Linked DNA regions of Sus scrofa. Each later gene encodes a partner of the first gene's protein in a complex. Links are inferred from orthologs where the notes say so. Each region holds a gene or a part of one and is shown on either strand. Other genes may lie near its edges.

Evidence for each region.
Region 2: CYFIP2 (region 1) and BRK1 share a complex: the UniProt entries of both Homo sapiens proteins name them as parts of the WAVE1 complex. The link is inferred for Sus scrofa from reciprocal best matches to the Homo sapiens genes CYFIP2 and BRK1.

The regions. Positions count from the first base shown.
Region 1 is NC_010458.4:65,998,566-66,003,056, reverse strand, and holds the start of CYFIP2 (cytoplasmic FMR1-interacting protein 2), read left to right. Parts: upstream 1-1,480; 5' UTR 1,481-1,619; exon of another isoform or gene 1,620-2,034; intron 2,035-4,491. UniProt on the Homo sapiens protein: Involved in T-cell adhesion and p53/TP53-dependent induction of apoptosis. Does not bind RNA. As component of the WAVE1 complex, required for BDNF-NTRK2 endocytic trafficking and signaling from early endosomes.
Region 2 is NC_010455.5:66,314,140-66,318,538, forward strand, and holds the start of BRK1 (protein BRICK1), read left to right. Parts: upstream 1-1,298; 5' UTR 1,299-1,374; coding exon 1,375-1,576; intron 1,577-4,399. UniProt on the Homo sapiens protein: Involved in regulation of actin and microtubule organization. Part of a WAVE complex that activates the Arp2/3 complex. As component of the WAVE1 complex, required for BDNF-NTRK2 endocytic trafficking and signaling from early endosomes.

The DNA.
Region 1 (4,491 bases):
GTGGTGTAGGTTGCAGATGCAGCTTGGATATGGAGTTGCTGTGGCTGTAGCATAGACCTGCAGCTACATCTCTGATTTGACCCCTAGCTTGGGAACTTTCACATGTCATGGGTGGGGCCCTAAAAAGACACACACAAAAAAGGAAACCTCAGTTCTCTTTTTAAAGCCATCCTCCACAAACACCCCCACAGCTTTCTCACATGGCATCAGGGACAGAAATGTATATGTATACATAAGTCATCCTTTCTGAAATAGAGATTTAAATTAGAATGAGTGATGTAACATCAAACCACAAAGGATCATGAATCCTGAGCACTCGGGAAAGGATGTGAGATCAGCGAGGACAAAGACTTATACAAGTCCTTTGCTGAGTGTTGAGTAATGTGGCTCCTCTATAAATAACCCTTGATAGGAAGAGCTGAGTGATGAACTTTACATTTGCAAGCCCCTCAGATATATTTCAGGAAAGTTCCCTTGTAGCAAGACTTTACCCCCTAACTTTAAAACATCTCAAATGATTTCAAATCATTTACCTTGTGAAGTAGGAAAGGCAACGATTATTCCCCACATTTTAGATGTGGTGGCATCTCAGGAACAGAGTGGTGAAGTGACTTGCTCAGGGGTCCCAAGGTTGGAATTAGGTGTTGTCTGACTTCCACCTGGTTTGAGGCCCCGCCAGGATGCATTTCAATGTGAACCATTTCTTTGGAGGGCCCTAAATGGCAAATAAGTCTTGAAGAGAAAAGTGCCTGTCCTCTCAATTCCTTCTCTAATTTCCGTCATCATGGATTTGCCTTTTTGTCCATTAGGCAATTAATTCTTCCTGAATGAAGTTGAGGCAGGCCTCTGCTTAAGAGATGGCAGCTTCAGGGATTCCACACCAAGGAAGTGAAAGAGAGAACCAGTAGGTATTCTTGAACAGAGGAGCAGCATTTGGGATCAGACTCCATTGGCAGAAGCCCTCTCCCCAACTCTCAGGTTTATTTTCTACCATTTCACCCTGTTTCTTTTTTTCTTTTTTTTTTTTTTTCCACAAAACGGTCTTTTAGCTGAAACTGGACATTTGCCAAGTTAATTTATGCCATGTATCTCCTGATAGATGATAAGCTCCAGAAGGGCAGAGACTCTGTCTTTTGCATACCCCAGTGCATACTCAGCTCCTGGCACGGTGCTTGGAACGAAAGAAGTGCTCGAAAAATATGCATTTGGAAATCATGTGAGATCAATGAGATCCTAATGGAGCCCAAAGGATCAGTCCTCCCACAAGCTGCAGGTGTGGTTCCTGGGTCTGAGGGGCCCGGGAAAATCCTCCCTAAGCGATGTAGCTGGCTCTCCTGGGGCGAGAGGTCCGGGTGCAGGTCTGGGATGCGCCAGCCGCGCTGAGGGACGCACCCAGAGCCCCTGGCCGCAGCCATTTCCTGCTCTTTGTGTGACAGGCGCGGCGGCGAAGGGGCGGGGTGCGGGGAACGGAGGAGGAGCCGCAGCGGATGGAGGGGCGGGGCCGAGGGCGGGCCCAAGCGCGGCGGCCGCCGAGCCGGGCCAGGCAGAGCATCCTGCGCCCCGGCGCGGGGCCCCCGCCGTATCCTCGGGCAGCTCCCCTAGACCTGCTGCAGACCCAGGTAAGCGGCGCTCGCAGGCCTCGGGGCCGGCGTGGAGACCGGGATGCTGCTGGGGATGTCGACGCAGCCGTAGAGATGCGCGAGGGGCTCGCACCCCTTCTCCCAGCGCCGTGGGGGTGCTCGGCGCGGCGGCCGGGCTAGCCCGGCCTGGGGGCCCCAAGAAGCTCCCAGAGGCCGGGCCTCGGGCCCAGCACAGCCCGCTGCCCCCTTTGGCCCACCCTAGTGCCTGAGGCGCGGACCGCCTTCGGGGAGGCACCGACGCATGGAGAAGCTGAGGCGCGGTGGCGGTGGCAGCAGCAGCAGGTGCGCGGCCTGGGCCGAAGCCACCCGCCTGGGAGGAAGCGGCGCTCCTGTCGAGCATCTGAAGCACCTGCAGCGGCCGCGAGGCCGGCGGTGGCGACCTCCCGGCGCCCAGGTACCGCAGAGCGCCGGCCACCGCCTCTGCTGCCGCCTCTGCCGCTGTAGCTACCATCACCTCCCCCAGGGCCAGCTAGAGCCGCCTGGGCCCGCCTGGCAGCCGCCTTGGACGCAGCGCGCCCTGTAGTGAACGTGAGATGGGTGGAGCAGGGGTCTCCGCAGCGTTGTTTCGGGGTGGGGGGCTTTAATGAGCGAGGAGGCAGGCCTGACCCGCTTTGAAGCCTTCTGGCCTAGCATCCTCTCCCTCTGGCTGGCTGGGGGCGGGGAGGAGGTGGGGGGAAGGGAAAGAGTGGTCTGATTCCTGGGGGAAAGGTTGGGTTTTATTTAGCTCTGTAGTGGCTTCTGCGTTGCAGGACAGCCGCCTCCCTCCAGGGGTATGCATCATCTGAAAAGGTATACAAGGGCAGTTCTCCGTGTGGCAGTGGGGGTGGGGGCGGGAAGCATGGTCTGGAGTAGGTTCTGTCTGGAAAACCTGACAGAGAAGGACACCGAGACTGCCCAGGTACCCTGCTCAGCCCAGGGAATCTGACTTTGACCTCTGCCTGTCTAGTTTCCCCACCATAGCAGTGCGACTCACCAAGGACTGATGGATGGGCCTTCAGCTCCCCTTACAGCGGGGCCCAGAAAGGGACAAGGTTATTTTCCTGTGGGCTTCTGGGCACTTGTGCCTTCGAGGCATGGTCAGAAAGGCTGGGGTAGCCCTGCAGGCATGAGGGGCAATCAGGAGAGTGCTGGTTCCCACCTCTCCCTTCCCACCTCCTGACTCTGTCACTTTTGCGCACGGGGGTGGGTAGGGGGGAAAAGGAGGGGTGTGGGGAGGCCGTCGATCTTACCTTACTCTTGGGCACAGGCGCTGTTGCAAGCCATGCTGGCAGCTGTGAAGATTATAGCTGCTGGAGGGCAAAAATCTAGGTCCATATCCCTGGACAGGGTGGTGAAGGCCTTGAAAGTTGTTTTCTCCATCAGAGCTTCTCTGCGATCCCTCCTGAGACCGCTCACCTCTGCTTCCACACAGTGCCCTGTGCTCCACCCCCACCCCCACCCCCACCCTATTCTCCTGTGCCAGAAATTGTTTTCAAGAAAGGAGCCAGTGAAGGCATTTATCCTCAAAGAGCCAAATACAAACAAATTTCCCATTAGACGCAGAGCAGGTGCTTTAGAAGTCATTTGACCAGAAAGGAAACAGAGGCTTAGAGGCATTTTAATGGGAAACAAAGCTTTTAGTAAATAATATTTCATATCTCTAACGGTGGAATTTCAGGCAGTGGGCTGGAAGTGGGAGTGGGGAACTGGGTCGCAATTTTGGGGAACAGCTCACTGAAATGACAGCTTTTAGCAGCTGTCAGTGCTGTTTGCTTGCTGCAAGGGCAGCTTTGGCCTTAAGGGCAGAAATACCATAGGAGTAGTGTGTGTGTCTGTGTGTGTGTGTGTAACTGGTCAGGGGTTACTGTCACTAGAAGGCATTGTTGAGCACTCAGTGTCTATTTGGAAGAGGTGAAACCTATAGAGAGTTACTTGTTGACACTGGCTGCCATCTGCCAGAGCAGCTACTAGGCCACAAGAAGAGTGTGTTGTTGCTCTCAAAGCCAGTTCCCCTGGCTAGTTCTGCAGGCTGAGCCTCTGGCTGGGGGCATTAGCGTGCTGTTCACTAAGCTTCTTTATTATATTTCCTGGCCAGTTCTGACTGGTTCTGTAGGCACCCAGGCCTGCCTTGTTCAGTACCTGCTGGAAATGGAAAAGGAAAAACTTGTAGGCATTAGACCGAGAGTGGGATATGAAGTCCACCAGGATAGGAGAGTTTTACTCAAAGCCAATCAGAGTCTGGCGCAGAGAAGAAAGTAGACAAGAATTTAAAGACTGGAAAAGGATCTTGGGGGAATAGTACATGTCCTATCTGAAATATTGTGCCCTCTCGGGCATGCAGTGGGCCTCTGCTGCTGTCACTGAGTGGCAAGGCGAATTAGGTGATGAATAGGCAACAGCTAATTAGCATTGGGAACAGCACTCCTGGAAAATAGTGCCGAGAGCTCCAGTCCCCACATTTGAGGATCAGCCTATACTCTCAAAGAGGTTTCTCTTGGCCACTGTTGGTCCCAGGGTTCCGCCCAGAGCTGCGCAAAATGGCCTTTTATAGCCTCCATGTGGCCACCATAACAATGAGTCTATTTCTTTACTGGCATGTATTAATTATTCACTTGTAGTTGACGAAACCAGACAGCAGTCCCCTCACTGGAGCCTTTGTAAAAGGCCTCGGGTCTTATTGTCCTGAGGAGCAAAGCCAAGTCTAGGGTCCAGAGGATGGATCCTGCATTAGTCGTGGAGATGGGGCAAGGGGGGGCGGAGCATGCAGTTACCTTGAGCAGAGACACCTGTGCCATCAGTGGTGGGGAAGGATGCTCTTATTAAATAAGGGATGCCGCAAAGTGCCTAGCACATAGTGTGTACTATTATATTT
Region 2 (4,399 bases), on another chromosome or scaffold:
GCTCAGTGGGTTAACAATCCGGTGTTGCTGTGAGCTGTGGTGTAGGTTGCAGACGCCGCTCGGATCCCATGTTGCTGTGGCACTGGCGTAGGCTGGCAGCTACAGCTCGGATTCGACCGCTAGCCTCGTGAACCTCCATATGCCGTGGGAGCGACCCAAGAAATGGCAGAAAGACTAAATAAATAAAGACAAAATATTTTTTAAAATTGTTAAAAAAGAAAAAGAAAAAGGAATTCCCATCGTGGCACATTAGAAACGAATCCGACTAGGAACCATGAAGTTTCGGGTTAGATCCCTGGCCTTGCTCACCGGGTCAAGGATCCATTGTTGCCGTGAGCTGTGGTGTAGGTTTGCAGACGCTGCTTTGATCTGGCATTGCTGTGGCATAGGCTGGCAGCTACAGCTCTGATTAGACCCCCTAGTCTGGAAACCTCCATATGCCAGGGGTGCGGGCTCCCCCACCAAAAAAAAAGAAAAGAAAAAATTTTGTATTTTGTTTTCTTCTTCACTTTAGCATGTGTGTTCTGTTGCCATAATTGACATTTAAATGACCTCATAATATTGCTCTAAGTGACTATACTGATATTTAGCCATTCCCCAACAGTTGAGATTTGTTTTTTTAAATGAATGATGCCTTTAAGAACATTGTGCTCAAAGTGTTTTCTCTTTTCCAATGAGCTCTTCTTTTTTGTCTTTTTTGGGCCGCATCCCAAGGCATGTGGACTTCCCAGGCTAGGGGTCGAATCAAAGCTGTAAGCTGCCAGCCTGGACCACAGCCATCAGATCAAAGACTCTGCAGCTCTATCTAACCCACTGAGCTAGTGCCAGGGATGGAATCCACGTCATGGATACTAGTCATGTTCCTTACGGCTGAGCCACAACGGGAACTCCACCAATGACTTTATTAAATTTCCTTCTGAATAGATCTTGCCAGCTTACAGTATGACCAGCTATTTACTAATTTTCCCATTTCCCTTCAGCCAGCCTCTTCATCTCTAAGTATTATAGTTTAAAAAAATAACCTTTTGTTCATTTGATAAATGCAAGGTGGGCATCATGTGTTGTTAAAAGGCATTTTTGAAATGACTTGTGTTTTCTGTGGTTTAATTGGCATTGCCCAGCTTATTGTGGTCAGAGATCTCAGTTTGGAGCGCCTGAAGTTAGGGTTGATGCGGGCTCACGCGCCCCCTAACGACCAAAACTGCCAGTGACTGAGGGGGGACGGGGGGGGCTCTGAGTGCGTGCGCACTCCATTCTCCAAGCCGGTTTTGCGGCCACCGTTTTCCGGGGTGTGGGAGAAGAGCGAAGACGCTGGCGGGGACTTGACAATGCGCAGGCGCATCACGAAGCCTGTGGATTTGTGGCCAACCGAGCATGGGCGTGGGCTGGCTGCGTCGGCGCACTGGAGGCCTGGAGGGTCGAGGCGCGTGCGCAGTCGCGCTTCCTTCAGCTGCAGCCATGGCAGGCCAAGAGGATCCCGTGCAGCGGGAGATTCACCAGGATTGGGCGAACCGGGAGTACATTGAAGTCATCACCAGCAGCATCAAGAAAATCGCAGACTTTCTCAACTCGTTTGGTCAGCGGGCGAGCAGGGGGAGGCAGGGAGGAGGGGGGCCCGCCTAGGGAGGGCGCTGAGAAGCTTTGACGCGGGTTCTGGGAGCCGTGGGCTCCTGCTGGTGTTTGCTTCCGCCTTCAGGCCGCACTTTTCCCCTCTCGCTCTGACCCCCGGCCTCCACTGATCATTCCCTGTGGGGTTATCCTGCCCCACGCTGAGCTCATCGGCTTCATTGCCTTCCCCCCGCATCCAGTAACAAGTCCGTTCCTTTCCCGGACGTGTCAGACAGCCCCATCCATCGCCTGAATCTTTCCTTCTCTTCAGGCGTCTCCCTTCTTTTGTGCTTCGTTTCAGTCGTCACTTGGTGCTCAGAGAGCGCTGTCCAGAAGCCCTTTAGCGTCGAGCCTGTTAGTCGCCCCTCCTGTCGGTCCTTTCCTGTCTCGGCGTGTGCTGTGCAGAGTGGTAGATGAGAGCGGAGGAGGGCCCACATCGCGTCCGGCCAGGGACATCTCTGCATCGCTAGTATCTAGACCACAGTGGGTGTTGTCTGCTTCTAGCAAAATCTTTCCTTGGCATGACCTGTCCGTGACAGTCTTAAAGTTCCTTCCGCGTTGTTTCCTATCCTTGTGCTACACCCTGCAGCAGAGACTCCTGACTCTTGTTCTCCGAGTGTTACTTTGAAAGAACCGGGCACTGGGTAAACTTTTTATGTCATCACAAGGTGTGGGGATGACATCTAGTGATCTTTTTCCAGTTGTGCTTCTGGCCCACTAATTCAGCAACATTAAGCGATTAAGTAGGGGAAACTGATAAATTTAAAAAGACTTAAAAAGGAATTATTTTCTTGCTAAGAGAAGTCCAAAGGAGTGTATAAAGGTGACAGCAAGAGATTTGTCCAAAAGCATCAGCAAGACAAACTAGATCTGAGTACAAGGCTCTTTCTCAGTCTCTGTGGGGAAGACAGAATAAGAACCATTTCCTACAATTAAGTGATTTCTATTTTGAAGATGAAATAATGACATCAGAGCAAAGCAGAACATTGTTTCTGATTTAATATATTTACATATAGGAATTCCCCTTGTTGCTCGGCAGTAACAAACCTGACTAGTATCCATGAGGACCTGTGTTTGATTCTTGGCCACACTCAGTAATTTAAAGATCTGTGTTGCAGGAGCTGTAGTGTAGGGTGCAGAGGTGGCTGGGATTCTGCATTCCTCTGGCTGTGGTGTAGGCCAGCAGCTACAGCTCCGATTCAACCCCTAGCCTTGGAACTTCCATATGCCTTGGGTTTGGCCCTGAAAAGACAAATATATACATGGTCTTTTACATTTGTATGTAAATACACATTATTTATTTATAATAAGCTTATAAAATATATAAATATATATACTTGCATACAAATGTGTAGGACTATAACCTTTTTAAAAAATGTTTAAAATTCTTATAGCCATACCCATGGCATATGGAAATTTCTGGGCCAGGGATTGAATTCAAGCCACAGCTGCAGCAACAACAGATCTTTTAACCCAGTGCCCTGGGCTGGAGATTGAACCCACACCTCTGCAGTGACCAGAGCCACTACAGTCGGATTCTTAACCCACTGCACCACTGCAGGACCTCTAGAACTATAATCTTGATATGTTTTGGGATGGTGGAGTCCTCATTCAGGGACTGGGGGAAAGGTTGTATTAGTGAGCAGTAAGAATAGTATAAATTATATGCCAGTGATACATATTCATACATATTACTTGCTATAGAAGTTGTGATAGGAATGGTAGTTAAGAAATTATAGATCTCTGGGAGTTCCCATCATGGCTCAGTGGTAATGAACCTGACTAGTATCCATGAGGACTCTCACTGATTCCTGGCCTTGCTCAGTGGTTTAAGGATCTGGCGTTGCAATGAGCTGTGATGTAGGTCTTAGATGCAGCTCGGGTCCCTTGTTGCTGTGGTATAGGCCGGCAGCTGAAGCTCTGATTCAGCCCTTAGCCTTCCATATGCCATGGGAGCAGCCTTAAAAATACAAAAAAAAAAAAAGAAAGAAAGGAAATTATAGATCCCTGGAAGTTCCTGTGTGGTGCAGCAGGTTAAAGAGGCACAAGCCACAACTGTGACACAGGCTGCAACTGTGGCACAGTTCAGTCCTTGGTCTGGGAACTTCCACATGCCGAGGGTGTAGCAAAAAAAAAAGCAGCAGCAGAAAAAGAAGAAATAGAAATTAGTATCCATGAGGATTCAGGTTCGCCCTTGCTGTGGGCTGTGGTGTAAGTCACAGACTCGGCTCTGATCCCAAGTTGCTGTGGCTGTGGTGTAGGCTGGCAGTTACAGGTCCATTTTGACCTGGAACTTCCATATGCCATGAGTACAGCCCTAAAAAGCAAAATAAATAAATAAGTTCCTGGGCCAGGGATTAAACCTCAACAGTGACAACCTTTACCTGTTGAGCCATGGACCTCCCTCAAGTTTTTTCTGTCTTTTTTTTTCTTTTTTTTTTTTTAGCGCTGCCATATGGAAGTTCCTAGGGGTCGAATTGGAGCTGCATCCACCAGCCTGTGCCACAGCCACAGCAACACGGGATTCGAGCTGTGTCTGCAACCTACACCACAGCTCATGGCAACGCTAGATCCTTAACCCACTGAGCCAGGGCTCAAACCTGTGTTCTCATGGATGCTAGTTGGGTTCGTTAACCACTGAGCCGTGATAGAACTTCCCCTGAAGTTATTTTTTAAAGTTCATTGTAAACTCTTTCAATGTTCTGATAATTGTCCCTCCTACTTTCTTAGAGAGCTAAACTATTATTGAGGATTCTTTACTCATAACATTCTGTCAGAGAAAAGGCCACAT